3 linked regions of the Lonchura striata genome follow. The protein of the gene in region 2 purifies or fractionates together with the protein of the main gene of each other region. This does not show direct contact. Links are inferred from orthologs where the notes say so. Each region holds a gene or a part of one and is shown on either strand. Other genes may lie near its edges.

The links.
Region 1: the proteins of ARRDC3 (region 2) and ADRB2 purify together in Homo sapiens (affinity purification with western blotting; 6 studies listed by BioGRID and IntAct, with this or other methods). This does not show direct contact. The link is inferred for Lonchura striata from reciprocal best matches to the Homo sapiens genes ARRDC3 and ADRB2.
Region 3: the proteins of ARRDC3 (region 2) and WWP1 purify together in Homo sapiens (affinity purification with mass spectrometry; 4 studies listed by BioGRID and IntAct, counting the BioPlex papers as one, with this or other methods). This does not show direct contact. The link is inferred for Lonchura striata from reciprocal best matches to the Homo sapiens genes ARRDC3 and WWP1.

What each region holds. Positions count from the first base shown.
Region 1 is NC_134617.1:1,908,714-1,916,160, reverse strand, and holds the start of ADRB2 (beta-2 adrenergic receptor), read left to right. Parts: upstream 1-4,394; 5' UTR 4,395-4,447; coding exon 4,448-5,621; intron 5,622-7,447. UniProt on the Homo sapiens protein: Beta-adrenergic receptors mediate the catecholamine-induced activation of adenylate cyclase through the action of G proteins. The beta-2-adrenergic receptor binds epinephrine with an approximately 30-fold greater affinity than it does norepinephrine.
Region 2 is NC_134642.1:67,596,605-67,604,656, forward strand, and holds the start of ARRDC3 (arrestin domain-containing protein 3), read right to left. Parts: upstream 3,049-8,052; 5' UTR 2,836-3,048; coding exon 2,556-2,835; intron 1-2,555. UniProt on the Homo sapiens protein: Adapter protein that plays a role in regulating cell-surface expression of adrenergic receptors and probably also other G protein-coupled receptors.
Region 3 is NC_134603.1:27,225,050-27,232,182, forward strand, and holds the start of WWP1 (NEDD4-like E3 ubiquitin-protein ligase WWP1), read right to left. Parts: upstream 3,003-7,133; 5' UTR 2,663-3,002; intron 1-2,662. UniProt on the Homo sapiens protein: E3 ubiquitin-protein ligase which accepts ubiquitin from an E2 ubiquitin-conjugating enzyme in the form of a thioester and then directly transfers the ubiquitin to targeted substrates.

The sequences.
Region 1 (7,447 bases), on a different chromosome or scaffold from region 2:
CTGGGTTCCCACAGTGAACCAGGTCCTGCTTTGTTCTGTTCCCTTTCCCACCCTCACAGCACCCTCGGGTGGGGTCAGGTGGGGACAGTGGCACCTGTGGGAGCAGCTCCAGGGTCAGGCAGCCGGTGGCACCTGTGGGAGCTTTAGGGCAGCTCCAGGGGCAGGCAGGAGCTGTCCCAGGCCCTTCACACCGCCCTGCACCCCCCAGAGCAGAGCAGAACCCCCCCACTGCCCCTTCCCCTGCAGGGCACGGGGTGGGCACCGTCCCGGGGGGCAGAGGTGGCAGCATCACCCCCTTGGACCGAGGCTGGAGCGTCTCTGTCCCCTGCACTGCCCCTCCTGACCCAGGGCAGTGCAAAGGGGACCCTGGGCTTTCCTCACTGACAGCCCAGAGCTCCCCCCTGGCCGTGCAGGGAGCTCCGGAGAGAAGGGAGCAAACAAAAACTCAATTTTATCACTCAAACCCTCTTCTGACTGCGCCGGTCTTCCCGACAAGGAGAAGGGAGAGATTAACCAGGAGCTGCAAGTCAGGGGTGGCTCCCTCTCATGGCTTGGAGGGACGGAGAGGAAAATCAATCAGGAGCCAGGAGGCTGCACTCTGATCCCCCCAAAAACCTGCACAGAGCACCCCGACCCTGCTCTGAATCTTGAGGGAGCCTAAAGAATCATGGAATGGCTTGGGTGGAAGGGACCTTAAAGATCACTGAATTCCATCCCCAGCCACAGGCAGGGACACCTTCCACCACCCCAGGTGGCTCCAAGCCTCCTCACACCCTTCCCTGCGAGGAATTTCACAAATTCCCCTGCTGCCAAACACCGCTTTTGTTGAGGATTGTCACTTCCAAGCTCTTGCCAAGAGCCTGATCTGGCCAGGGTATTTAATTCCAGTTTGTGATAAACATCTGGGCAGGCACACAGCATCCAGCTCCTCACAGTCCTCAGGAAAGCCTTCCATGCCAAAAAGACGGGCTGTTTATTCCAGTTCTGTCAGTTGGGCTGATAAAAGTGATTATTTCTCTCTCCCAGCCCTGCTTTCTCATTGATCCCACAGGCTGCTCTTCAAATGTCACTCAGCGAGCAGGGAGAAGGTATCCAATTATGGAAAGGGAAAAGATCAGCGTGATGACAAAGCACCAGGGCCAGTGGGCCATGAAACAAATGAGATCTGTCTGGTTCTGACACCCTCCAAGTCCAAGGAACCCAGAAGGAGGCATTTTGGGCCTCTCCCCTCCAAAAAAATTCAAACTGAACTGTTCATAACATCTCTGAGGTTTGGTATTATTTTTGTTCCAATATGAAGCCTTGAACCTGATGGAAATCTAATAATTGCTCAAAAGCACAGGTAAAGTCATGCAAACCTCACAAGCCAGTGAGACTTGGGGTGATGGAATTTATTTTTATGTCAGGCAAATTCCTTCCTTTTTTAGAGCCTGTGGTCACTTGTCCAACTTACTGAGGGCCACAGATGTGTTGTCAAAGACAAAAATCATCTCAAGCCCACCCGAAAAGGTGAGCAAAGATTGCCGGAGAGCAAATCAAGGAACAAAAATCAGCTTTGCCCTCCTTCCTCCAGCACAGCCTCTTGTCCAAAGCCCAGGCTGAGATTTCTTTGAACAGAGTACAACAAAGACAAAATACCGAGCTGGAGACGGGGCTGGCTGATCCCTGCAGCCTGGGCACAGAGCTCCAGAGTCCTGGAGCTGCCTCTGGAGAGGGATTGCAGAGCCAGGGCTGCCTTGGGTAAAAGCCTTGTTACAAAGCAGGGAACTCGCCTGTGCCTCTCTCAGAGCAGCAGTTTCCCACACATCCCCAAATCTGCTTCTGCTCCTGCCAGGACCCAGTGCTGAACATCTGTAGGATGAACATCCTTATGTTTATCAGGAGAGGGGACTTAATTCTTTAGGAATGCTTGGATTTGGTGTCAAAATGCTCAGGAACAGCCCAGCAAACTCACCTGGTCACTACCTGACACCTCGAGTGCTTCTTAGAGCTGTCACATCAGCTCTTACCAAAAAAAGGGAACAGGGAGCTGAGGATGAGGTGTAGTTCCCACAATTTCTCCTTTTCCTCCTGTTTTTTTCTTTCCCACTACTGCACTTCCTGCACATCCTTGCTTTCCCAGGAGCTTTTGGCCGTGTTTTCCCTGCAAGGTGGGAGCTGCTGGCCTGGGGCAGAGGGTGGGAATGGACATTGCACCCAGCTGGGCTCGCCGAGCCCCTGTGGGGCACAGCCCTGCTGGGGTGAGGTCTGTGAAAGCCTCGGGGCCACAGAGTGAACCCAGCAGGTCCCAGCTCTGCCTGGCTGTGTGTGTAGGGAGGGATGGCCCCGTGTGCCTTATTTATCTTACGGGCAGGGGAAGCTCCAGGTAATCAGCTCAGATGGTGAGCTCCTCCCAGGGTCCCTGCTCTGCCAGATGTCTGCAGTGGGAGGGGGGTGACTTCTGCATCTCCTGTTCCTTGTCTCTTCATTTTTAAGCCTCTGAAGCGTGTGGATGCAGAGGTGGAGTGTGGGGAGAGCAGGGAAGCCGCGGGTTCAGGGCAAGACAGACACTTCATAACTGCCTTTAATCTCGTTTCCTGATTCCAGTACCTCATCTGCCCCTCTGGTTTAAACCACCAAACTTCCTCCCTCCCCTATAAATATCCCCAGCACAGCCAGGGCATGGCATGGACACCCAGCAGGCTGTGGTGTGGGACAGTGGGGCAAAGACAGCCAAAAGTGGGGAACCTGGCCCTGGCACCCCAGTACTGCAGGAAAAATGAGGCAGAATGATGAAAACGCATCAGAACCCAAGAGCTGATGAGTTTCACATAAGATTCACCATTGATAAGTGTTTAATTGCTGACAAAGGCAGGAGTCTGGCACTCCTGTGCCATGGGAGGGCCACAGAGCTGCATCCAGCCAGGGACTGACCTGCAGCTGCTGCTGCTGGCATTGGGGTAATCTGGGTGAAAAGAATTCTTTATTTTCTCCCTTTCTGTAGTACCGAGCTGTTTTAGAACCACAGCTTTCAGCTGAAACCTCTGAAAGCAGCCAGGGCCAGCAGAGTGAGATGGGTCTCTGGGAAAGCAGTGCTGCTTCAGAGGGATGGCAGAAATGAAACTCCAGAGGCAGCGTTTTATCTCCGGACAGGCTAAAAGGAAGTTTTCAGGATTCCTTAGCTCTTATTTAGCCAGTTTGTTTGTTTTGGAGGGGAGTGCTTGTGATAGTGTCGGGCTCTGAACACGTGCCTGGCTGCAGCGTGGCCAGCCACAGTTTCCAGTGGTCACTCCCTGCCTGGCCAGTGCTCCCAGCACAGTTAAGGGCTGTCTCTACCCTTGAGCAGCTCTGGGATTCCTGTGGCTGCTTCACTTGGATGCGCCCCACAACTGGGGAGCAGCAAGAGCACCGAGCTGGCGACTGGCAGGGACGGGGACACGGGTGACATCCTGCCACGAGGTGCCACCAACGCCGGTGGGGTGCCAGGGGCTCCCCGAGTCCTCGGGATGTTCCTGGCGCTGTGCGTCCTGCTGAGCACACGGGGGGCACGGGTGGGGTGGGGACACCGTGGGGGGACATCAGTGACGCGGGGAGAGCACTGCGGGCAGAAGGCGCAGGGACACGGCGGTGCCTGGAGCACATCCCGGGGCGGGGACGGGAGGGCACCGCGGGGACGGGGGAAGGGAGAACCCCACGGGGAAGGGGGAAGGGAGAACCCCACGGGGAAGGGGGACGGGAGGGCACCGCGGGGACAGGGAGTGGGGAGAGCCCCCGGTGAGCGCACCCCGGGGCAGGGAAGGGAGAGCACCGCGGGGACGGGGAACGGGCACGGAGCTGGGAGAGCCCCCGGCGAGTGCACCCCGGGGCAGGGGGACGGGAGGGTACCTCGGGGCAGGGGGAAGGGAGAGCACCGCGGGGAAGGGGAGCGGGCGGTCAGCGCACCCCGGGACGGGGACGGGAGAACCCCGCGGGGAAGGGGAGCCCGCAGTGAGCGCACCCCGGGGCAGGGAAGGGAGAACCCCACGGGGAAGGGGAGCCCCCGGTAAGCACACCTCGGGGCAGGGGGAAGGGAGAGCACCGCGGGGAAGGGGAGCGCGCACGGAGCGGGGCGAGCCCGCGGGGCGCGGGGATGCGGCCGGCGGGGCGGGGACACGCGTGGGGCAGGCGGGGGTGGCCGCGGGGTGCGGGGGGGCCGGGGTGCGGTGCCGGCTGCCATTGGCTGCGGCGGGCTGATGTCACGGGCTGCTGTCACTTAAAAAGCTCCGCGGCGCCTAACGGGCTGGGACACGGGCTGGGACACGGGCTGGGACGGGACGGGAGCGGAGCGGAGCGGCGCCGGTGCCCCAGCGCAGCGGCCCCGCGCCTGCCCCGCACCTGTCCCGTATGCGCGGCTCCCGGAGCGGCGCCGCGGCTGCGGAGCGCTGAGCGGAGCCGAGCCCTCCCCGCCGCCCCGGGGCTGCGCCGGGCCATGGCCGCGGCGGGGACGGAGCTGCCCGGCGGCAACGCCAGCGCCAACCAGAGCGCCGCCGACCCCACGGTGTCGCGGGACGTGTGGATGGTGGGCATGGGCATCCTGATGTCGGTGATCGTGCTGGCCATCGTCTTCGGCAACGTGCTGGTGATCACGGCCATCGCCCGCTTCCAGCGCCTGCAGACTGTCACCAACTACTTCATCACCTCGCTGGCCTGCGCCGACCTGGTCATGGGGCTGGCCGTGGTGCCCTTCGGCGCCTGCCACATCATCATGGAGATGTGGAAGTTTGGGAACTTCTGGTGCGAGTTCTGGACCTCTTTGGACGTGCTGTGCGTCACGGCCAGCATCGAGACCCTGTGCGTCATCGCCGTGGACCGGTACTTCGCCATCACGTCCCCGTTCAAGTACCAGAGCCTGCTGACCAAGGGCAAGGCGCGCGTGGTCATCCTGGTGGTGTGGGTGGTGTCGGGCCTGACCTCCTTCCTGCCCATCCAGATGCACTGGTACCGGGCAGACCATGAGGACGCCATCCGCTGCTACCAGAACGAGATGTGCTGCGACTTCTTCACCAACCAAGCCTACGCCATCGCCTCCTCCATCATCTCCTTCTACCTGCCCCTCGTCGTCATGGTCTTCGTGTACGCCAGGGTCTTCCAGGTGGCCAAGAAGCAGCTGCAGAAGATAGACAGGAGCGAGGGGAGGTTTCACACCCAGAACAAGGAGCAGGAGCAGAAAGGGGGAGCCGGGCACCGCCGCTCCTCCAAGTTCTTCTTGAAGGAGCACAAGGCCCTCAAAACCCTGGGCATCATCATGGGCACCTTCACGCTGTGCTGGCTGCCCTTCTTCATCGTCAACATCGTGCACGTCATCCAGGACAACATCATTCCCAAGTACCTGTACATCCTCTTGAACTGGCTGGGCTACGTCAACTCTGCCTTCAACCCCCTGATCTACTGCCGGAGCCCCGACTTCAGGTACGCCTTCCAGGAGCTGCTGTGCCTGCGCAGGTCCGCCCTCAAGATGTACGCCAACGGCTACTCCAACAGCAACGGCAGGAGCGACTACAACGAGGAGGACAACGGCTACCCCCTGGCCCCGGATAAAACCTGCGACTTGCTCTGCGAGGAGGGCTCCTTCCCTCGCCCCGAGGATTTTTTGCACGGCAAAGGTACTGTGCCCGGCGGGGAGGGTGCTGGGGGCTCGGGCGGGGGGTGCACAGAGGAGCCTTTCCAATGAAAATCAACCTCCTTTCGTAACGAGAGTGATTGTTTTTTAGAGAGCGCCTAAAACCTAACAGCTGCAAGAAACCCCAAACTCAAACTCTGCAAGCTGGCCCCTGGCAGGGCGGAGGGGCTGCTGGCAGCCCCCCCTGGTTTGGGGCACGACCCGGGGGTCCCTTAGCAGGGTGGGGGACGCCAGGCTGTGCAGGATGCTCGTCCCCGGAGGGATTTCTGGCCGTGGCCGGGACTGAACTGGCCTGGCACTGAACTACCTCATGACCTTGTGGGAGCTGGGAGCGGGGCTGGACCCCCCTGCCCGGTGGGACCGCTCCCGGTCCCCTTGTCACATCCCCGCTGGTGGCTGTGGGAGCCCTCCAGGCCAGGAGGGCACCTGGGGCAGGGGTGGCAGGGTTGTCCAGCCCGGGGCACTTTGCGGAGATGGCAAAACCCCTGAATTTGATCTGCGACAAACCGGCGGGGAAGGGATGCAGGCAGCGGGGCAGGCTCGGGGCTGCCGGCGCTGGGACAGTTTGATCACCGCCCAAAAACTGCGAGTGCTCTGCGGGGTTTTGTTTTGCCGAGTGCCACAGGACTTTCTGCAGGGGAAAAAAAAAATATAAATAAACGGAATCGTTTGCCTAGAATGTGAACCTGTGACTGTGGGACTCAGGAATGTGGCACTGGGAAGTCGGGTGACACGCGGCTACAATCACAGCCCAGCCAAAAGCTCGTAAAGCGCCCGGTTTGTTTAACTGCGAGGCTCAGATGACAGCGAGCCCGGGGAGGTGGGACGGGAGGAGGTTTGGATTTTCCGTGGCACCCTGGAAGCGCCGCTCCGACCGCGGCACGGCTGCAGGTCGCTGGGGTTGGGTGTGGAGGGGGTTTGTCCCGTGTGCCAGGCTCTGCCAGGTGTCCCCGGGACAGGACAGGACAGGACAGGACAGGACAGGACAGGACAGGACAGGAGAGTCCCTGCCTGGAGGGGGCAGCAATTTGGGCTGGGGGCGCACCCCGGTGCCGGAAGGGTGTGCAGTGCGGGGTTCTTTCAGGAATACTCGGGAAAAGGGCAGGAAAAGCTGCTCCCGGGACCTCTCGGGCCGTGGTGTCCCGGGGAATGCTCGGGCGTGCGGAGTCCCCGCATTTCCACGCGCTCTCCCCGCACCACGGTGATGTGATGTTGGTATTGGTGTTGGTGTCGGTGTTGGTGTCGGTGTTGCTGTTGCTGTTGCTGCTGGTGTTGGTGGCGTTGTCGGCTCGCTCCGTGCTCAGTTTGGGGGTGTGGGGGTCTCTGGGTGCCCAGGGGACCTGGGTGGGTGGCGAGCGGCCAGCCCGGGGCTGAGTCCCGGTGCAGCAGGAGGCAGAGCGGCTTTGGGGCAGCGCCGTGCCCCGTCCCGGAGGAGCCGGGGTGGGACGGGGGCGGAGCGGGTTTCTGGTTACCGACACCCCCGGCCGTGCCCGTGTGGCCTCGGCTGCTCTGAGGACTCGCCCCGAGCGCTGGTGCCCACAGGGCTGGAGGGGAATCCCCCCGGACGGGCAGGGAGCACGGGGGGTGTCAGCCTGGGGACAAACTGCTGGAGCTCTCCGGGTACAACGCGGGGCTCCGGGAATTCCTGCTGCTCCTTTTCCCAAAATGCTGCTGATCCTGCCTGGGAAGGAGGAGCAGCGCTAAGAGCCCTCTCCTCCCCAAGCTGTGACTGACTCGGCTCCTGTTGTCGCCTCGGCACCGAGCGGGGCCAAGGAATGTGCCGGGAGCGCTTCCGTGCCCTCCGTGCTG
Region 2 (8,052 bases):
AGAAAAACGTTGACTTGGTCAAAATAAAAGTTGAGTGAAAAATGACTGAACACCTCGCAGACAAAAAGGGCTGGAATTATAAAAGGGGTTATAGCAAGACAAATTGAAAGAGAACAGCTTATGTGTGATGGTCTGAAGCATTAATGGAGGGATTCTGAGTTTCTATTGTCCTATAGAAGAGGCGATGCTCTACCTCCTGGAGTGCAAATACCTAAAATTTAGAAACGAATGACAAAACAAACAAACAAAAAAAACCCGTCCCATCAGCAAGATGTGGAAATAAATACACCTTCAGCACGCAACATTACTCAACGTAGGTCAGGAAAATGTGCTGAAAAGGCAAGAAAATGTGTCGGCCTGAAGGTGGACTTTTATACTGTTGGTTTGCGTTTGTTTTGGTTTATTTTTTTTTATGATAATAAATACGATTTTTTAAAATAAGAAATATGATTTATGTGTTGTTCTTTTTTGTTTAATTTTTTTTCCCGAGGCTGGGGGGGGAGCCTGGCGGAGAGCGGCGCAGCCACAGCTTGCAAGCAGCGCTCCCCCCCCTTCCTGCCAGCTCAGCAGTCCCGCCACGCCGCGGTAAACAAGTGCTGAGCTGTCAATCAGCGCGGGCTGGAGCAGGAGCCGACCGGCCTGAACCGGAGCGCCGCCAAGCCCCGCCGCCGGCTCCGCACCCAGGGCGGACCCTGCCGCCGCCCGCGCTGGGCAGACCCCTCAGGTGACGGGGCAGGGACGAGACGGGGCGCAAGCACGTCCCCCTGCCGCCTCTCTCTCTCTGAGGGGCTTTGCGCCGAGCCAGCGCCTCGGGGAGCGGCCCCTGCCCGCCGGGGGCAGGCAGCGAAACCTGCTCACTCACCCTAGCCGCCAGCGCCCCGCCAATCAGCGGCGGGCATCGCCTTAGCAACAGGGCAACAAACCGCGGCCGGCCAATCAGGGCGCGGCCGGGCCGCGGGGCCGCGCTGAGGGCAGGCGGCGAAACGCGGCCGGGCCGCGGGGCCGCGCTGAGGGCAGGCGGCGAAACGCGGCCGGGCCGCGGGGCCGCGCTGAGGGCAGGCGGCGAAACGCGGCCGGGCCGCGGGGCCGCGCTGAGGGCAGGCGGCGAAACGCGGCCGGAGCCGAGACGCGGCTCCGCGGGGCTCCCGGCCCGCCCGCTCCCACGCGTGCTCCCCCCGCCACGGGCGGCTGCTGCTGCGCGGCTGCAGACTCCCGTCTCCACGCTCTTGGAACCCGCGGGAAGTTACGCTCAGGTGTCTGATTTCTGAGGCGGTGGCAGCCCTAAGTCACCTCGTTAGCGCGGTGTGCTCGAGACGTGAAAAAAAAAAACAAACTAAAAAAAGGCCCGAGTTCTGCTACAGCTTTGAGCTCGGGAATACTGTGTGAAGGCGCTCGGTGCCGCCCGGAGTTGTTAAAAAATTACATTTATTATTTTTTAAGAAAAAACGAGAAATATCGCATCGCTGCTGTGTATATGATGTATTTTCAGAAAAAAAAAAAAAAAAAAGGGGGGACAAGCAGCCCAAAAAAATTACATAACCGGGTTTTAACATTATTTTCTTGCACTGGGGAATTAAGTCATCGCCACCACCTGACGAGTGCGGCCAATCTGCGCGGAGCGGGCGGCCCACCCCCCTCCCACAAAGCCGGTCCCAAACAGGATTGAACCGCTTCGAACAAAGGCTGCGAAGTTCGGGGGAGAAAGAAATAAAAAACCACAGAGAACCCCCGGGCCCTGGCGCTTGCACCCCCCAGGGGAAGGAGTCTGCGCTTCGTGGGGACACCACGGCGGCTCGAGTGGGAAGTGGGGAGCAGGAAGTCCTCATCTCCCCAGTTTTGGGAGAGATGCTTCCATTACGCAATATCGCTTCCCCCCCTCTCTCTCCTCCCCCTCCTTTTGCTCCTCATCAAGGGCTTTTCGGACACATCTTTACATCGGGGTGACCCCCATTGCCCAGCGGGGTGTAGGGGCGGCCCAAGGAAATTAAAGCTTTTTACCAGGGCGAGGGGAATATTGAAATGAGGGAAAAATTACACGTGTGGTGGTGAGATGTCAAAATAAGCTAGGGAGACCCTTTTATCTGCAAATAATCAACCATCCTGAAAAATGCATTGTATTACCACTCCAACAGCATCAGCAGAACCCCTCATGTGTCAAAAAGTATAGTTTTTATGCTTTCGCTGTGTTTCAATTAGGATTCTGCCAATAAAGTCCGCTGCCCATCTGGCTGTAATTTTACAGCTGTTTTTCCCCACGGAACAGCAAATCCTACTAAATATCACCAAGGAAAAAATAAAAGGTAAAACACTCGGAAAAAACTTATATTAATATATAGCCGTAATGAAGGGCAAGTAGTTCAGAGGGAGTCCTCTTGCTTGCAGGTACTTTGCAAATGCATTTCCTACATGTAACTCCATTGCCAAGATACGACCCTGGGCACGTCCTGCTCTCCAATGCACCTAATTAAAAGACAGGACTAAACCAGGGTGATACAAAGATGCGTGCTTTTTTTTCCATAAAAAAATAAAGCAGCACAGTTAAGGGCAGCCCTTACCTCTCTCGTGGCCGATCAGGATGTCTTTATGGTTGAAATATTCCACTTCTTCGGTGTAGTTCTGTGTATAGGCAGTGTTGGATCCAGCATTCCTCGATTCAGTCCAACGTACTTTAGCGTGGCCCCTCGCATGGATTTTAAGGGATTTCACTCTGATTTCCCCAGTTACTTCTAGACTGACCCTTCCTGAGACTGTATCCCCACTAGAGTAAACAGGGACATTGCTGTCATTCAGACAGTCAAAGCTTATCGTCAGACTCTTCACCTTCCCCAGCACCATGGTTTTTATAGCAAAGTGTACAAAAATAGACTGTTAAGAAAAAAAAAAAAAAAAAAGGGGGAAGGGGGAACCCAAAAAACAACCAGCCCCGAGCCCCTGGGGCGCAGGGTGCTGCGGCGCGTACCCTACAGGCGGCTCATGGGGGCGGCGGGCAGCCCCGGCCGCGGCGCGGGCGGCGCTGGTGCCGACGCGGCGTCTCCCCACAAAGGCGCTGCCGCGCCGCCGCCGGCCCCGCCTTATAAGCCGTGTGACAAACAAGCGCGGGCGCGCATGCCCCGCCCCGCCCCGCCGGGGCAGCCCCGGCTCCGCGCCGCCGCCGCCGCCGCCGCCCGGGAGCGGGCGGAGCGCGTTTTGTGCCGCCCGGCCGGGCGGAGCGGGTCGTGTGCTGCGGCGGACGCCGCGCAGGTGATGCTCTGTTGGTGCAGATGGCAGTATTGCAGCCTCTACGGAGACAGCAAAGTTGTGCCTCACTTGACAGACCTTGTTCTGAAACTGGCAAAGCCTTCCTTCTCTTGGTCATTGGGTTTTGGGGTGGTTTTGGTTGGTTGGTAGGATTTTGCTGCTTTGGTTTGTTTGGTTAGGTTTTCTTCCTTGTTTCGTTTTTTTTTTTTTTTTTTTTTTTTTTTTTTTATCTCTGTGTGTATGTGTCTGTGTCTAAAGATGGGAAAGAAGTGAGCAAAGCTTGGTAGGAAATGATAGAAAATCATGGCAAGAAATAAAAAGCAGTCCTGGCTTTCAGGGTAGTACATATTGTACTATGTGAGGATCCTCTCTGTTAACTTTTGAAAATCAGTACTGATTAACCTGAATTTATCTACGGCAGTATCAATGACTGTCCTAGCAATAAAAATTACATTACTGTAAATCATCCCTGGAATTTTTTCCAACTGTTGATTTTTTTTTTTTTTTTCATTATTACTTTGGTTGTCCTGTTTCTCTGGTAAATGCTCTGGGTTTGGTTATTTAATGCTACATTTTCTAATTCTAGCTCACTTCCCTGCTGACACAAAATTTTCAGTGAGAAGTATGATGGTGGTGGATGACATACCCCAAGACACCATTTTTTCGGGGGACTAAACTGAGATACACAGCTAACTTTTCATGCTAACGGTTAAGTTTTGAAGTGTTTGCCTATTCCTGCTGTTTTTTCTTAAGTAAAAAAAGTCACATTTTCCTTGGCCTTGTGGATATTCTCATGTGGGGTTTTTTTGTGGCCAAAGGAATTCAAGTCTCTTGTGGGTAAATTAGGATTTTCTGTGCTTTTGCAGCATCTCATGGTAAGCATTCATACTTCCTTAGCTCTTAGAATCACAGAATAATTGAGGCTGGAACAGACCTTCAAAATCCTGTAGTCCAACCATAAAAAAAAACACTTTCAAGAGAAGAAGAGTTGATTAAATTTCTCTTCTGACAGTGTTTCTTTGTTCTTCTCATGCCTTCAGACTCAGGTAGTCTCTTGCATGTGTTTATTTGCACATTTTAATTCTATTCTGTAATTTAAAAGATAATTGTGTCTTTCATGAGTCATAGAAGCCACAATTCCATGGTCTCCAGTTGCTACAGGAGTTGAGAAAGCTGGCAGCCAGGTGGGATGCAGATTTCATCCACAGGGTTTGGGTCATATCTCCTGTTCTGCCAATTCTGGGCTGGTTCTTAATGTTCACCTGCCCAAGGACAAATCTGCAGACATGATAAAGAGCAATTGCATTTTCCAGGAAGCTGAAGATACAAATCTGTTATTCCAGTGGATATTAATCTGGATTTTTTTTTTTTTTTTTTTTTTTTAATCTAGATAGGTAAGAAAGAGGATCATCCTACATAGTTGGGGTATGTGCAGCATGCTTTGTGTACTGTTTGCATTTGCCTATTCCAAATTTGTTGAAGAAAAATAAAATACTTCACTAAGCTGCTGCAAATCATCCCCTGTATATACCCTGCAGACCTCATAGCCCTGTCTTACCTCCCCTCTCACTAGACATCAGCCATCTCCTAGATCACCATATTTCGTGTATGGCTATATGTGATTTAAATCTAGACCACTGAACAGGCTGACATAGTTTAGTTAATCATGTGTTATGCATATTAAACTTCAGACTGACAGCTCTGCAGAAGAATCTATGTATGTATATGTATACATTTCCTGCATCCTGCCAAAAATCACCCGTACACATTCAGCCTCTGCTGCTCTTTTTAATACTTCAGTGTATTCGTTTTACTTTTGTGTTCCTAAAGCATACTCGTCATGCCACCTTGTGGCAAGGATGGTGAAGTGCCAGCACTGACTTTCACCAGTCTCTGGCCTCTGCATTTATGCAAAATTGACATTTTTCCATGGAGCCTTTTTGTCAAAAACAACAACAACAACAGCAACAACAAAAAAATACACCAAAACATTAATTTTATTTTATTTAAGTGGAGAATATACTATGAGGTTTAGCCAAAAATATTTAGCATTTTTTTAGATGTTAAGTTAACCAAATATTTTTCAGGATTTAAGTTTTTGCATTTGTCAAATGAGCTATACTCTAGTTAAATATTAAAAGTTTTATAGATCCTGACATGGGATTTTAAAAATTGGTTGCAAAGACAATCAGGTCTTATCATCTTAGATCAACAATAGGCAGTGAAGACTTTGTACACACATGAATTATCACGAGCCTTCACTAACCTTTTACAGGCCTTATGCATGATACAGTCCACAAAAATTCACATAAAGTTTTAAAAAAGTATTAATTTGATTAATTAAGCCAAATTTCTTTCTTTTTTTTTTTTTTTTTAACTGGTGGAACCTATGAAGATCATGGTGTCTGCTATTGAAGTTAGTAGCTCCAAGGAAGATGGCAATATTCCAGCCTCCATAAAGGCATAAAGATTATACCTTATTTTACAAACCCTTTCTTGAAACTGGCAAAGTCTTCCTTGTTTGTCTTTTTTTTTTTTTTTCCCTTGGAACTTTAAAAATTATTTCTCCTTTTAAAATTATTTTCTTATTTTTTAAATAAAACAACCTATGCCTAGAACTCTCTCAACCTCCATGTGACGTAATTATACATTTATGCTGAAGACCATTCAAAATCCAGAGGTTAGGTCCATTTAGAATCTTTGTAGCTTATCAGTCTTCTCACTGTGCACTTGGTAAATCTGTAAGGGTGGGTATTATGCACAATGATCTTGATAACAGTCATTACATTTTTCTAAAAGCAAAGCCAGAAAAGCTTGCAAAGTTCTCCTGACTCATCAATAAACTACTATTAGTAGGAAGATCCAGGTTTTGAGCCCATCTTCTTACAGACCATCCTGGTTTGAGACTAGGCCTGATTTGATGTGGAGACAGTGTTTGCCCTCCCTGTGAAGCTGTTACCTTGTACACAGAGAATGGGCTAGAGTGAGTGTCAGAATAGAAGATGCGTGTTTTCTGAAGGTTAACGTGTCCTTATCAAAGGGAGAATCCTGAAAAGAAAACTCATGCTCCAGAATGGTTTCTATGTTTTGTGCAGTGAATGAATGAAACATGTGAAATGTTCTCTTAATGGACTTGTTTCTGTTCATCTTTGTTGTGTCTGATCCCAAATCTATTCATAAAAATAAGAGAAATGAGGTTTGCCCTCATCATAACTTTGTGAGGCTACATTTGTGAAATATTGTCGCATCAAAATAGTGAGATAAAAAAGTTAATTTATGGTACTGTAGATCTGTGTACTGAGGAACTTTTTCCAAAACTCCGGGATTCAGAAGAATGTCTACAGACTTTCTTTTTGTTACTATCTCCACTGGAACAGTTGTTCATCTCTCAGAGCTGTAGAAAGAACAGAAATTTTTGCTAAATAGTCTTCCTTTGGGCTTATTTTTTTAATGGAGAAATAATCAGTGATGTAAAGAAACTTGGAGATTGAAACTGTTTCCTGGATTTGAAAGATCCAGGATTTGGGAGCAGCTTTTCTCGTATTATCTGTATCTTTAGATGATAGCATTTATTATTGAGAAAGAGCGTTCTGTATTTCTGATGATTCTGCTTTCAGAAGGCACATACTGTAAAAAAAAATATTCAGTCTCAAAACTCAAGCACTGTTTGAAATGTTTATTAGTTTGCGGTTTTTTTCTTTAAAATATTTTAAAGCTGTCTTGGAGCTAGGTGACACTTTGGTCCATGCCATAGCTGCAGAGCTTCCATACCTGGCTCATACACGTGGTCATGTTTAAAAACCTGGGATGGTCACTGATATTGTAAAGGCTATGAGAATATGCAGGATTATGAAATCAAAATTATTTAGGAGTGATTAAGATACAAAATAAACTTTACTGTGAGTCTAGTAACATGTAACATGTTTTGCTGTTGTAACTTTTTTGATGTAACATGTAACTTTTCTGATGGGGTTTTACCGTATAGTGCGAGGAAGAAGGATTTGGCAATGTGCTTGAGTCGCAGTAGTACTGAGGAAAATGTTCTCTTGAATTTTGTTTCTGCATTCCCTCTTTTCATGTTTATCTCTCCTTCTGACTAGCACTTTGCAGAGAAATCTTAAAATATTTGTGATTATATAAAGTTTCTTTTATGCAAAGTGTGTATTTTTGTTACAGGATCTTTCCAACATGCCATGATATTAACTCCGTTGGTCAGGGCATGGTACTCTGCCAATAGTGCCAAGATAGTAACTTAAGAGTTGGTGTGACTGTTCAGTAAGAAATGACAAAAAGTCAGTCAGAAGGCTGAGTGGCATAAGCATGCATCTTTACTTGGTGTTGCTTCTTTTATACACTGATCTGATACAGGTGGACCTGATTGGTCATTTAATCAATACATTTCACCCAATTAGCTAATTAACAAGACACACATTTATAAACAATCTTATGAGAATATCAAGAAAACAGATATTAGGAAGACACTAACTGCAGGCTGTTTTTAATAATTGGATATCATTGTTTATCTCCAACTCCCTAAAATCTCCCAGGCTGATTCTGGGAAAACTTATCTAGTTTTCTTGCTCTCTGACCAGACTCTCATATCCACAAGTTGGAGTCAATTATCCTTCTGTGTCCCCTCCAACTCATCCGATTCTGTCATTCTGCGATCCAGCAAGAATACTAGAAAGATGTTTAAAGTATTTGAAATAGAATTTTCTAAAAAACTCAGATTTTTTTTTCATTATACATTCTTTTGGTTTATCAAAGGTTATGCTTTAGCTCTGTATTTCAAAATGGTTAGATATATACTGTGAT
Region 3 (7,133 bases), on a different chromosome or scaffold from region 2:
AGTAGCTTCACTCCTTTTTCAGTCCTTTGGAAGAATTTTTTTAACATAGCTAAAAGTAACTTAAAAGAATCACTTAAAGACAGCTTGCAGCAAGCACTTATATTGGTTATCACTCCATTACCTCACCTAGCCTTCACACTTCATTATCTCAATTCTAAAATGAACTTGGGGTTTTTTGTGGTTGCAGGATTTTTTTTAAGCTAACAATGAGTATTTGCTTTAAATGCATAAAGAGAAGCCATTTCCAATTAACAGACATGGTTTAGGTTGTGATATTTCCAATCACGGCACCTTAGTTTTTAAGTTTAATGTTTTAATAGCATAAGAAGTATGAAGAAATTGAATGTGATACCAACTCCCTGTTGTAGATCCTTACTTCTGATTCTTCCTGTCCAAAACCCAGAAGGAATCTCTTTCCCCACACACATTCTCTCACGAAAAATAACAGGGAAGTGGGCAGAAATTCCAACTTATCAAAATTTCCAACTTCATACTGAAAGATAAAAAGGAAGATGAAAAGCAGTAAAACTAGCAGACATTACTCCTTCCAAGGGTTCCACAGACTCAAGAAAAGGGGTTGGCTCTGAACTCCATCAGTATTCCTGTGATTTAAGAAGCACTTGTAGGCAAAGTGATTATTTAAACTTTATTGAAAACCCTTTAACAAAAACATACTGGCTTACAGTGGTTTTTTACTGATATTTAGCAACAAATGCAAACTATTTTACAAACAAAAATAATCCGTATTCTTTTGGTAACAAAGTGTCCCATACCAAGAGAATAAATCAGTCCCAAAGCTCTCAAGCGTCCAAGTATAATTTTGTATTTAAGGGAATTATTCTACAGTGTCACTGGGGGAAGTCCACAGATAGTACTAAGCTGCTCACAAGCTAGAAGCACTTACGGGACTAGACCTTTAAAATATAGCTCAAAATCCGCACTGAAGAGGTGATACAGGAATTCTAAACCCACAAGTTCACAAGCAGCATCAACAAAAAGTATTTCTAGTTGCCCCATTTAAAAGCATCTTAGTCATGAATCCAAGTAAATTGTGCTTTTGCAGCTGCAAAATTTTTCTCAAAAGGATGAAAAATTCTCAGATTTTCTTCTCTAAGTAAATTTATTTAATCTTTATTAGTATTTAAATCGATCAGAAATAGTTATTCAGTTTAGATCTGGACCAACATCGATTCAGATAAGGCAGTACGGAAATTTTTTTTTTTGAATATACAACCAGTTCAAGTTAGCAAAGCATTATCACAGCTAATATCAGTCCATTTGTTTCTATGTTGTAGATATTAAACCAGTATACCAATTTTAAGAGTAGACTTATTACTATGAAGATCATACTGTCTTTTACAGGTATGACCATATATAACACAGCTACCTGCAGTCCGTGATTGCATCTCCTAGTAAACCAGTATTATTAAACTTGCACAACCTGAGTTTTTTTTTCAATCCATGGCATCCTGATTACTTTTTATAAGATACAGCTGCCCTGTGAAAATGCAACTGAACTATGAATACCTTTTTTTACAGTTTCACCCAAACATCGAAGAGCTCCCATTAAAATGACTAGACGGTGTAAAGGCCTTTTCTCTCTTTGATGTACAGTTTAAACATTTATAGATCTGGAAGCAGAGCTAGATCATCCCAGTTAAACTGGGATGAGAATTGGTATCATTCCAAAAATAAGACAATCACAAATAAAATCAAGAAAATAAACACACTGAGTTGTAACATTTTGCAACAACATAAACAAAGATAAAGGACACAAACACGTCTTTTGAGGTCTTCAATTCACACAGTCTGCTCAGGCGAACACCCATCACAGGGACCCCGAGAGACGAACAGACACCTATAACCTGAGCGCTGACCGAGAACACCTCGTGCTCCCTGCGCTGGCACCGTGAGGGGCGACAGCAGCGCACCGAGGAGGGGACACGGCTCCTCACCTCCTCCCTCCCCGGCTTCGCCAAAGGAAGGTGAACAGAAACGTAACAAAATCCTTCTCCTCTGCTTCCAGCCCGCACATAAGCCAGGGCTGGCCGCGGAGCTGCCTCACTGACTCCTGGCCACTAAAGCCTCTCGCAATCCACTCAGCGTTGACACAGGTCACGACTCAGCTCGCCGTCACCCTCGCAAAGGCCGTAGCCAGGAATAAACAAGGTTATTCGCCTGACACCGGACACCGGCGACACTCCCCCTCCCTCTCCCCCGGCCCCACAGAGACACAGGCTCACCACAGCCCGACCCTCCCTCCCCTCGCCAGGTGCGGGCCCAGGGGCCCTCAGCCCTGTCCAGACGCGAGCCAGAGCGGGAGGCGGCAGGGAAGCAGCAATGCTCCGAACACCGTGTGGGGCATCGGGAGGGGAGAAGCAGCAGCCACCGCCCCCCGCCAGTACAGCCCGAGGGGTGCGACGAGTCCAAGTGCCGGAAAGGAGCGACCGAGACCTCACCACGGCTCCCTTCGCCATTTTAGCCCCCACGCCCATTCCCCTCCTCCCCGCCCCTCGGTGACAGGGGCAGATCGCACCCGTGCAGCGCCCACCCCCCCGGCTGCCCACGGCCGAGCGGCGGCGAGGACGGCAGCCGTGTTTCCACCGGACGAGACCGCAAACCAAAGCGGCTGCGGCACAGCCTGGTTTGTGCCCTTACTCACCGTGGCTCGCAGCCTCACAGCTGCCGCCGCCTCCTTCTCCTTCCTTCCACCCTTTTCTTCTTCTTCGCTTCCTCGCCGCCGCGGCGGCTCCTCACCCCTCCGCGCCGCGCTCCGCCGCCGCCGCCGCGCAGAATGATGCCATCTCACAGCGGCATCGGCGGCTCCGCACAACAGCCCTCCTCCCGCTCCTCCCGCCCCTCCCGGCGCCGCTCCCGCCGCCGCTCCCGCTGCTCCCGCCGGGCGCCGCTGACGGCCGGGCCAGCCTCGTGCGCGCGCCCGGGGCACGGGCAGCAGGAACTTGTGGAGCTGCAGCCGGAGCCGCTGGAGCCGCCCCGGCGGGAGGGCCCGGTCGGGACCGAGCACTGCGCAGCGGCGGTGGGAGGGGAGAGGCGAGCCTGAGCCGAGGCTCTTCAAAGGGGACAGGGCTTATTCCTAGCGCCTGCCCCGGGCTGAACCAAGTCGGGCGCCGCGGCGGGGAGAAGAGCCGAGAGCACAGAATCGACTTTGGGGGAGGCGGGGCCGGGCTGCAGCCCCGGACCACGGTCCGTGGGACGGAGCCTGCTGGGGCAGGATAAGGAGGGCTCCTGCGAGTCGCTGTCCCCCGACAAGGCTCCTGTGCGGCGCCGAGAGCCAGCACACCCCGGTGCGGTACGAGCGATAAAGGCGGGGGGTGTCTCCTCCAGCGCCGCCCGCCCTTCCTCCCCGGCCGTGCCGGCAGGGCGAGCTGCTGTGCCCCGCCGGGAGCTCTGCCGCCGTGACAGACCGTCCCCCGGCCGGTCCCCGTCCTCCACCGCGGAACCTCTTCCCCCTCTCGGAGTAACGCAGCCCTTCCCGTCCTGGGGCGGCAGGGCAGCTCTGCGCAGCCCTCGGCAGCGGCGCAGAGCGGCCCCGCTGCGGGGCGAGACACCGCCCGCCCGGCGGCAGCCCCGGCACGGGCGCGGGGCCGGCTTTCCCCTGGCAGGAGTCTCGGGCCTCCCCTGCGGATTTACAAACCCAAAAGTAGCTACATATGCACAAGTATGTGGAGCTAAAGTTGTGTCTTACATTGAAGACTAATGAAGCTTTGTCTTCGTGCCGTACAACATAAGGCTGTGGAGTGTGGAGGCAGTGGTAGCACGAACTTTCGGGCATAAGACCTTTGAGTGGTTGTCCCAGAAAGTCCAGCACTACTGTTAATTGAAAGGAACAAAAGCTTACAGTATGAGACCCTTAAGCAGCTTTCAGCAACGTCCGGTATTTCATTATTCTTAAAAAATAACATGGGGGCCAGCAATCTGATTTGGGCATGTAAATTCCTCCAGGCAATAAAAGGAATACTCTCAAAAGTACTACTTTCCTACCTATTCATTCTTCTTAGAAAATCTACAGGAAAACAAAGTTTCCAAACAGTGTTTGCAAAGGAAACAGTATTTACAGTCCAGCTTTAAAAGTATCTCAGAGTATTCTAGGAAAAAAATACTGGTCTTCTCTTGACTGGTAATACAAGTGACTGAAAACTGTGATGGTTTGAGCTTCTGTACACAGCAAATGTAACAGAATGTATGGGTTCTACACTCACAAAATCTGGCATGGGCAGTAAGATGAGCTGTATGCAATTAGCAACCTAGTTGCTAATTGCAAGCCAACCAAGTTAATCCCTCTGATTTACATAATTCAGCATATACTATTTTCTCTACAACAATTAGAACTTGCATTTAAAGAAAACTAGAGTCCCTCTTTAGTTCTGAGGTTGTCCAAAATTAGGAACTTGCTTACTACAAGGAACCACTTTTAAAATATTTTGGTAGCACTTTCAGAGTGTGGTAACGTGCTCCATCTCACTTTCCTGGCTGTTTGTTTTTCTAGTGTAAAGCGATCTAATTGAAATTGATGTAGCATTATGTTCCCAGCTGCAAAGGGTGGGTGAAGATGTGCATGGAACCATTCTATCTCTGGTCTTTGCAGAAGATAGTAATTTCTCTTCTATAAAACTTTGCTTGTTACTAATATCAGTAATCTGATGCTGATACTTAATAGAAAGTATGAGCACTACTTCTTACTATATGTGTAAAATTTAAAAGTTCTTCTTTCTTGCCTTATGAAGTATGAGAAGTGTGTAGTTAATTAATACTCTGTAGACAAGTTAGGGGCTTTTCTGGCTTCCCTCCTCCCTGTTTCAAAACAAATTTTGTCATACATTTGTCTCACTTTGGGGAACAGTGACATTCCAAGTATTCTTCCATCTTAAAAGACATTTGATCCCTTATGAATGCAAAATGTCCCAAGTTTCTTAATGCCACAAGTTAGGTTATAAATGTCTTATAAAACCTCTTCAATATTTCTGACTACTTTTAGAATAGTAGGTAATGGAAACATAGAATCATAGAATGATTTAGATTGAAAAGCCCCTTTAAGTTCATCCAGTTCCCCACCCTCCCTGCCATGAGTAGGGACACCCTCCACTAGACCAGGTTTTCCTCAGAGCCTCATCCAACCTGTACTTAAACACTTCCAGGGATGGGGCATCCACAACTTCTATAGGCAACATGTTCCAGTGTCTCACCACTCTCACAGTAAAGAATTTCCTCTTAATATCTAATCTAGACCTACTGTCCTTCAGCTTAAAGCTATTGTCCTATCTCTACATCTACATGGTAAAAAGTCCCTCTCTGGTTTCCTTGTAGGCCTCTTTAGGGACTAGAAGGTGCTATAAGATCTCCCAAGAGCCTTCTGTTCTCCAGGCTGAGCAATGCCTATGCTCTCAGCCTGTCTTCATAGAAGAGCCGCCTCACATTCCAGTCCCCTGATAGTATTAAATACTTAATGGTTAAAAGCCATGCATTGACAACTTGCTGACAACATTCAAGTTATGGAGTTATATGTGTATACTTATACCTGAGAAAGTGCAAATACAGTGTCTTCATTTTGCAGATAAGCACCTTTGTTTGTTTTCTTCTTTGTTTTGGCCAGAAAAGATTACAGATTATCATACAGTGCTGAAGGCTAGCAGGAATTAATGTAGGTCTGGGTGTCCTTGTTACCTTAGAGTTTTGCTCTTTGTAGGGTGAAATAGAGTTTTTATTAACCCCTTCACTATCCCTTTACAAAAGTTAACCTCAGTTAGCATTTGATAAGCCATTAAACTTACCAAAACAAATCAACCAAAGTTGGAATTTTGCAAGATGGTCTGCATGAAGATTTCAATAAATATAAGAGTATCTTCTATACACAACATTCCTGAGATAGTAATTTATGATACTAGTGAAAGATTTTAACAGCATCTCCTTATGTATTTCTGATTTTTTTTTTTCCTTTACTCTTTACAAAGTAAGGACAGTTTTGGAGAACTTGGATTCAGACCAGATCTCTATAAAACAGACTCCAGAATATACTGGGTTTATCCTCAGATTTTAATAGATCTTCTCTGGTATACTTGAACCGTGTACATTTGATAAGCATGGATTTTCAGACAGGCTATTGCAATATTTAGGTTTTAATAGATCAGAGTGTAACCAGTGTCTGGAATTATATCTTACCTTTTCACTAATTGTTTCTCTGTTGTAGCTGCCCAAACAGGGGTGGCAGTGGGCTCTACTAGCCTTTAATTGGAAAGTCTGAGTGACAGTAGTTTTGCTTAATTTATTGTTCTGTAGAACTCTTGTAGATCTCAATAGGCAGTAAACCAGTACAATTGCAAATTAATGACTTTCTCAGCCCATACAATTACTGTACAATACCATCTATTTGCATTTCTGTTTCTTTGATTTCTCTAACATTTTACAACTACAATCCCTGAATGTTGCAGAATAGTTTAAAAACTTCTGTAGAAAAGTGTAAGTGAAGTGTAATGTTCCAACTTCCTTAACAGTAATGCAGTAGTAAAACATGAGGCTGAAACCAAATATTTCTGCCATTAATAGACTCCAATGAAAGCTGATTTCACCTGAGCAAAGGCACACAAAACTAGTCAGTGTGGTTTCTGTTTGAAATGAGTAAAGTTTTATGATACAAGCCTTAAATGCAAATGGTTATGTTGATTGCTTACTCAGCCCTAATTTCCAAATGTGGCGAGGGGGGGGGGGGGGGGGGCAGGGGAGGGGGGGGAGGGGAGGGCATGGAATGTGTCTAATGAGAGTAGAGGGAAAATGTCCTTGGTTATTGTTGGGGTTTTTTTGGTTTTTTACATGGAGATTTATTATTACAAAACTCATGCAGAGTAAGAAAAATTTTGGACAAGTTTCTTTGGACCATATTCAAAAAACCATTTAGGCACCTGAATTGTGGTTTAGATAAAATGTAAATTTTACCTTCAAAAGCATAAGCCACAAAACCATGTAGATGTAGTCACCCAAGTCTGCCAGTGGATGTACTCAGTGTCTGTACGCATTGGCAGCAGGCACCTGATGTCTCCTCATTGCAGTAAAAAAATACTACTTGGCTTATGCCTAATTTATTTGGGGTCCAGGTGGTGGGTAATATGTCACCTAAGATC